Linked DNA regions of Daphnia pulex. The protein of the gene in region 1 purifies or fractionates together with the protein of each later gene. This does not show direct contact. Links are inferred from orthologs where the notes say so. Each region holds a gene or a part of one and is shown on either strand. Other genes may lie near its edges. The genes, in order: TIMELESS-interacting protein-like and protein timeless homolog.

What was found.
Region 2: the proteins of TIMELESS-interacting protein-like (region 1) and protein timeless homolog purify together in Homo sapiens (affinity purification with western blotting; 6 studies listed by BioGRID and IntAct, counting the BioPlex papers as one, with this or other methods). This does not show direct contact. The link is inferred for Daphnia pulex from reciprocal best matches to the Homo sapiens genes TIPIN and TIMELESS.

The regions. Positions count from the first base shown.
Region 1 is NC_060019.1:12,256,539-12,259,736, reverse strand, and holds TIMELESS-interacting protein-like, read left to right. Parts: upstream 1-1,493; 5' UTR 1,494-1,578; coding exon 1,579-1,693; intron 1,694-1,757; coding exon 1,758-1,830; intron 1,831-1,904; coding exon 1,905-2,103; intron 2,104-2,172; coding exon 2,173-2,574; 3' UTR 2,575-2,638; downstream 2,639-3,198. Other genes in the region: bumetanide-sensitive sodium-(potassium)-chloride cotransporter-like, read left to right, coding at 1-26.
Region 2 is NC_060024.1:12,856,639-12,861,122, reverse strand, and holds the end of protein timeless homolog, read right to left. Parts: intron 4,414-4,484; coding exon 4,351-4,413; intron 4,291-4,350; coding exon 4,218-4,290; intron 4,138-4,217; coding exon 3,927-4,137; intron 3,813-3,926; coding exon 3,670-3,812; intron 3,576-3,669; coding exon 3,490-3,575; intron 2,374-3,489; coding exon 2,158-2,373; intron 2,076-2,157; coding exon 1,680-2,075; intron 1,578-1,679; coding exon 1,387-1,577; intron 1,283-1,386; coding exon 887-1,282; 3' UTR 697-886; downstream 1-696. UniProt on the Homo sapiens protein: Plays an important role in the control of DNA replication, maintenance of replication fork stability, maintenance of genome stability throughout normal DNA replication, DNA repair and in the regulation of the circadian clock.

The DNA.
Region 1 (3,198 bases):
CATCTGTCCTCACTTTCCATTCTTAACACCTCAACATCCAAACAAAATGTGTTTTGAATATTAAAAACAGCAAACAATATTTATCTTCCCAAAATCATTCTTTGTCAATGGGCACATCAGAATTCAAATGAATTATTTACTTGTCATTTGCTTGTTATTTGAACTAACCCACGATACACATATGTAAATTTAATAAGCAAATTGTAGGGAATGGCAAAACCCAAACTTGCGTAACGAACAGGATTATTTAGTAAAATTCGTTCGACAGAACTGTGTGTGACCATTTATATTCAGCATATTTGTAGCAAGCTTGACTTGAAGTATGGCAACAGTGCCATACTAAAGAAAGAAAAAGGAGGGTGTGGGTGAAGCCTATGAGGTTCCAAACGCGCTTAAACTATTCAGATCTTTTTTTGCTCTAGCATAGCAAGCATGGCTAAGCATAGTAAGTCAAAGCGTTCTCGTAAGTCGAGTTCGAGTTCAAGTTCCGACTCTGACTCATCTTCGAGTTCCGCATCATCATCTAAATCTTTTTCAAGCACCTTTTCAGACATTATTAAATTAAAGTCGAAAAGGTTTGAAGTTAGCAAACGTAAGTCGTCGGTCCTCGCCAATTGGATTGTGAAGGGCATAGGTGAGAAGAACCTTAAGGCGGCTAGAGAGGCGTACAGGCCTGACGTCAAACGTGACAAAAAGGCTAGTATCAGTGCCTCTGAGCTGTTCACGAACCCAAAATTGGACGAGACTTTTTACGCGGCCCTTAAATCTACAAAGAATTCCAATGCATCGATGCCCAACATTGATCAGCTGGAAAAAGTGTACCGGAAACAGACGGACGTCGTCCTGGACATGGCCAAACCTCTTCTTTTTCTCCTTGAGAGGAAAAGTAAGAGAAGCGACAAGGACACCAAAGCATTAAAGACGCTGTCACTTCTCTGGGCCCATCTTTTCCGTGAGATTACCCACTCCAGACGTCTCAACATCCTCACCCAGACTCACCCAAACCACATCGGCTTACTTTCCCGTGCAGCAGAGAAGCTCCCTGTTGGCGGCGAGGATCTTTTTGGAACAGAGTTTTTTGTCACTACGTTTTATTGAAACCGCCGCAAATATAATATCGATAAGTGATCTGACGTTATGTTTCAATAAAGCAAAGCGGATAGGAAGGGGGGCCACAACAGTAAACGCATCCAGCAACGATAGGAAGATGGCTTTGAATTCGTTACAAATGGGTCTTTGACGAAAAGCTTCATATCTCGTCCATTTAATTAAAACTCAAACGCATTTTGAATTTTTAAATGAATAGCTGTCAAAATAGCTGTATTTTTAAGAAATCAAGCGTCTTTTTTTCAAGAATCAAGTTTCAAAAGAATTGAAATTTCAAAATGGTTTATTTCGTTTCCCGCGAGAATTTGGGTTTGCGTCATGCCACGATCGGATCGATTAATAATAAATCGATTTCATCAGAAACCGCACACAACCCCGCAGTTTACTACATCCATCCCGCATTCTCTCAACCCCAAACTTTATCCACTCCACTCCACTCCCGGCCCAAACGAATAACAATTTGAATTTAACATGAGTGATCAAGAAGTTGATGATATATTTGGAGAATACGAAAAAACCTCATACAGTGCCGAAGAAAATGATTCAAACTCAAAGAATGGGGAAGTAGATGCTGATAAAGGAAAACGTAAGTGTAATTAGTCTTATGAAAAATAAGTTCCAATCTAAAGCCTACATTATTTTCATTATAGGGGACAAAAAGTCAGAAACAACCAAAACACGTAAATTAGTAAGGAGTCAGCAGTTAAAGCTTGATCCAAACAGGTATTACACCTTTATTAATTCACTTTATTTTATTACTTTTTATATTACAATCAACATTTTTATTGGAATAACAGAGTATGTGGTCCAAGAGGAATCACAGCTGTCATACAGAATTTTAAAAATGTAAAATTGCAAGGGAAAGGTCATGAGAAATCAGATCTTGAAACGGTTCTCTCTCAAATGGAACACTGGGCTCATCGATTGTTTCCTAAACTACCATTTGATGATTGCATTGAAAGTGTTGCAAAACTTGGGAATAACAAATCTGTGCAGGTATTATTAATCTAATTTGTCTGTATTTGGTTGAACCTACATTAATTGATGTTATGACATGTATGATAGGTCTATATGAAACGATTTCGAATGGGAATGTTAGATACTGAACAAGAAATCGAGGAAACTTTGGAAAACACAGATGCACAATTTGACAACATTACTGAAAGAGGAACAGATGTGTTTAGTACTGTGATGTCGCGACCTTCGCAGTCTCTGACTCATATATCTGAAGATCAACAGAGTAGAATGGCTGAAAACAAAAGAAAAGCTGAAGAAAAACGGAAATCAAGATTGATGCTTAATACTTCCAATTTAAATGATACTTGTTCAAATGAGAGCTTTACCTCTAAAATATTGCCAGAGTTAAATGCTACAGTGGATACTGTGATATCTGAAACTACAGCTGAAACTAATGAAAACAACTCTGAAATTTTGGATATTGACATGTTTCTTGAAAATTTGCCTTAGCAGTTTGATCCCACTTTCTCTTCTCAATTGTACTTTGAAATAAAAATGTGAAGTTTGTGGAAAACTTTGTTGAATGTTCAGTTTCTTCATAAGTGAATTATTAAATAATTTACCAAGATCCCTAGAGCAACAAGATTCGTCTAATCTTATAAAAACGTAAGCAACGAAATTTCTCACGAAGAGGGGAATCGATTCTTGTATAGTTAGTACAATCACTCTAGGCCAAAATAGGGATTAACGTCAAAGTGAAATAATTGTTTTAAATGAGTAGTAATTCCGTAAAAACTAAATAAGAAATATTTCTTGATAGAATTTTCCATTTTATTGAAAATAGGGAAACAAAGAAAAAATGTAAATAAAACATGAGAGATACAGCCGAGCTTTGGACCCTATAGACCTTCTTTCCTTTTTTCAGTTCTTTGGTTATCGACCTACTCTTCCAAGTTCCAACTAGGCTGCTGGCTGCCGATCGCTATTTTCCCTTTCAAAATCGCTTCAAAAACACTTTTCCGTCTTTATCCCCCCAAAATTTATCGATACCCCGCCCTGTCCTTTTTTGCCGCTACGTTTTATTGAAACCGTCGCAAATAATATCGATATCTGATCTGACGTTCTGACGTTATG
Region 2 (4,484 bases), on another chromosome or scaffold:
CCAACCTAAAACCACTGGAAAAAAGGGGAGGAGTAAAAAAAAAGTCACATGTACAATAATAATAATAATGAACAAAAAAGAAGAAGAGTGATATGATGACGTTGACTTGTAAACGATCAGAAAGAAAATGTGAATAGCGAATGAATAGCTGTTGGAGAGTAGTACCTAATCCGGAAGCCCTTCCGCCGGCCAATGAATTTCCTGACAAGAGATGGTCTTCAAAAAAAAAATAGTCAAAAAATTATGTTAGCGCTGCCAAGTTGCTGAAGAATTCTATTCCCACACTATTTGTCAATGCTCTGTTTTTCTTATACAGGATTATTCTGAGAAAAATTCCCAAAGGCAATCTATCAACGAGCAGAAAAAAAATATTTCTTTTTAAAAAATTTTACAGCGAAGAAGATTTGAAATTCAAAAGTTTCAGCAACGTTTTTTGATTGACCGCAAAAGTCCGGTGGCTCCTATATATACAGGGCAAAGATGTTAACGAGGCGCAGGCGTGACGTGTACACATTTTCAAGCCCTGCCCCTATGTAATGAGATGAAGAATAACACAAACCACACACACATCTCTCCTCCTCGAAATTAAAAAGTGGGGGGTGGGGGTGGTGGACTAAGTGAAACGGATGCCGTTCCCACGTCAACAGTAGGGTCCAAAAGTTGACAGGAACCCAACTGCTGTCGCAGCCGCTAAGACTTGATTAAGCCCGTGTATTTGGCAAAGAGACGATAAACAAACTTATTTCAATACGTTCCAAGTGGAGAATTGAAAAAATAAAAAAAGTTGCAAAAAAGCGGAGACAAACAAAGCCATTGATTGTTTCCGCTGCAACTTTTCTTTTGTAATTCCTCATGTGCGTATTTTTTCGAAAGAATCGAAATCATTTCATTCGGATTCGCTACTATCGACGATGGCGAACCGTTTGCGACTTGTTGTTGACGCAGCTGTCGACGGAGTTTCGGCATCAACAACAGCCTCGACCTTTTGTTGTTCAACATCTTGCAGTTTCTCCGGTGGCGGTTCTTCGCTTTCGCTGTTTGAAGATTCCGAATTGATGATGCGGCGACGCTTTTGAGAGCCCAAAGGGATTGGATCGTCAGCCACTCGTTTCGCGCTGCTGCTGCTCCTGCTGCTGTTGGTGTTGGCAATCGTTTCGACCGGTCCGGCCAAATCGTCCATGGCATCTCCGTCGCTTACGGAATCGGTCGCCCCTTTTAGAAAATCGATCCTGGAACGTAGATCAGCCGAAGTCAATGTGGAAGGGATGCGCCAGAATTGCTCCTAGAAAATGACACGGAAAATAAGAAAAACGGATGACGGAGTTTCCTTCCAAAACTGTTGGGGGCGTTGAAACGATTATATGTTTAGAAATCAAAGAGACGAACTTGTTCGCTGGCGGGTGGAGCCAATCCCAATTTGGCGATAAATTTCAAAAAGGTGTGGTCCTCCATGGCGTCGTTGGAAATGTCCGTGAGCGGGACTATAGGGATGGCCTCCTCATCGCCTTCTCCATCTTCACGATCCTCGAGGGTTTCACTCAGACACTCGACCAACCAGGCTAAGCCTTCTTTACGGCCTGCGTAGAGTTATCGAAACCAGTTAAGTGTCTGCGCCTGTAAAGTATGGGCGCCAAATGGCGGCGGCCAAATGGGGAAAAAAACAGAAAACAAAAACTCACCGTCGCTGACAAGTTGCCGGAGTGGCGCTGCTAACATTTCGGGACTAAAATAATCGCTTTTCTTCAAGGCGAATCCGTACTGTTTGGGTCGATGTCGAGTCTTGAGCTCCTTCGTCTTGCTGACAGGCTCGTTGTCGCTTTCCCCTTCGTCGGACTCTTCACTTTCGTCCGACTCGGAATCCCCCAGTCCGGCAGCAGGTCCTTCCCTGGGCTCGGCTCGGCCGTCTTCGGAATCCGATTCATCGCGGTTCGATTCCTTGCTTCCGGCTGATTTACCTGGACGTTTCTTTCGTAACTCTTTGACGTCTTCCACCAGGCCCAGCTCGACGATTTTTTCGCGGACGCGATTCTTGGCACGACGGACGGGCAGCCGGTCGATAATCATTCCAAGCGGATCTGTCACAATCGGAAAAAACAAAAAAGTTGAGCGCCTGAAGCTCTCGGCTAGAAGATGGGAAATTATCAAAAATGAATAGACCTGATGATTCGCGGACTTCAGGGAAAATGCGTCTGAGCTCCTCCACTTCGTGTTCGGTCCATTCTTTGGACGGGCGGATTTTGGAGGATCGTTTCGTCTTAGCCAAGCTTTTGGCGTCCATAATGAGACCCATTTCTTTCATTTTCTTGATGATGACTCGTCGACTGCGGGTCTGATTGATCAGATTGGCCATGATTCGATCCACGACGTCTCCTTCTATTAAATTTAATTGAAGTAAATGAAACCAAACGACAAGACTACAACCTCAATAAAGGCTAAAAGGCTAACGCATGCGACTCGTACGCAATAAGGTGAGCGCAACGGAAACCATTCAAATGTGAATTGAAAATTTCATCACACGACCCGACCTACACCGCAGGTCCGTTGCAACGTGAAAATTCCATCCAGTGTCGTAATCCCTTCGTCACAGCCATAAGTAATCCTTTCCTTAAAATCGATTCCTTCATCGGCGCTACCCAGCTAATATACTGCTGCCCCTATTTGGAATCCCGAGAAACGGACATTCTCGTGAAACGGAACGTGGAAAATGTATACGCGTTAACACGGAGGAATGCGAGGAACGGGATCGAAGAATTGAATCCTGTCACGATTAAGTACGTCAAGAAGAAAAAAAGAGATGTTGGGGGATAGACTGCTGACGGAACATGTTTTCTGAAAAAAAAACTGAAGGATCGCAGAGGGGGTAAGAAAAATGGGAGGAGCGACGTAGTTTTGTAAAAATAAAAAATTCCCATGCGGAATGTGTACGAGCGCAACTATTTCATCTGGTTGGTCGTCGGCGGCGTGTCACGGACATGGCGTTTCACGTTTTCAACACATTCGTTAGATTTTATATTCTTCCCTTGCACTTACGTGCTCCTGCCTATTCTTCTTTTGCTCTTATCTCTCGTCGTGTTGTTTTCTCCCATGTACGTCTGTCAAGAGTTGGCTAATTTTGGATGCTTCCGGAAGGACCCTCCCCCTCTCTCTTTTCTCTGACATCTCACAGCAAAAAATATATCTCTCACGACACACTTTTTGGGTTGTTCACGGACTGTTTTTGGTTCACGCCCTTTGAACACTTTGGTCCCGGGGCGACAAACATTTCCCACGTGAAATAAAAGAAGAAAACTATAAGAGAGAGGGGGGTTGTTCTCTCCATTCTTTTTTAAAATAAAAAAAACCGCCGGCTGAAAAGGCGGGAACGGAAGAGATTTTTGTTTAAGTTTTTCAAGAGTTATTTCCCATTCGGACATCACAAGACGGATTCGATGTCAAAATAACCGGGAAGCACGACAAGAAAAGGAAAAGAAAAAAGCGCTCGTTATTTACCCCCTTCTTGGACGTCTCTGAATTCTTGATGGAGCCGCTGCAATTCATCTTCTTCCTCTTCGCTCCAGCCGAAACGCGAGCTGGGGCTTTGATCAAGAACAGGACAGATTATTTTAATTTTAAATTCGACGAATAATTAAGATGACAAATGAATAATGAGTATTTCGTGTCGCTTCTTACTCTTGGACATTGCCGTAACCAACTTCGATCTCGGCCGCCTCGCGGGCCGTCTTCCAGAACAGCAGTTCCACAAAGATTTTCGGGTTGACTTGTGCCGTTTCCGCAAATTTTCTCATGATGTAAATAGCAAACTTGTACAATTCCTAATTGCACAATAAGAAGAAAAGTTGAAAAAAAAAAGTTATGTAAAGAAACAGGACGAAAGAAAAAATTAAATGTAGTAAATCGGAATAGAATGATAATAAACCGATAATCACTTTGACAGTAGTTTCAGTTTTGGCCCGCGGATCGTCCATGATTTTATGGAATGTCTTGAAAATGGACAGCTGAAAAAGCATAGCAGGCATTTTGCAATCGTAGGCGATCCGGTGGAGAATTTTGATCACGCAGTGGTTCGTCAAAGTTGTGTTGGTGGAGTAACTTCGCAAGAGATGGCAGTAACTTTTGACGACGTTTTTGTGAGCAAATCTATTCCCAGATGGCACAAAGAAATGAATCCGATTATTTTTACATTCAAAAAGAGAAAAAAAAAGGACAATAAATTTTACCTGCGAATAAACTCTTCAAATTGAAGTTCTTTTTCACTCCTTCTGACTGTCGACATCTCCTCTTCTTCTTCCGCTGTAGTAAAAATAATAAAGTTTATTGAATACCAAACAGTACAATAAGTTGAACAAGTACCCGTTTCTTTGTTGTCAGCATCTTCTTCTTCGCTTTCGGCATTGGGCTCCTCCCCTGCAACATCTACTCAGGAAAAGGACGGCAAAATTTTTAAGATGAAGACTTTTATAAAAGGAAATTACTCTTAAATGCAA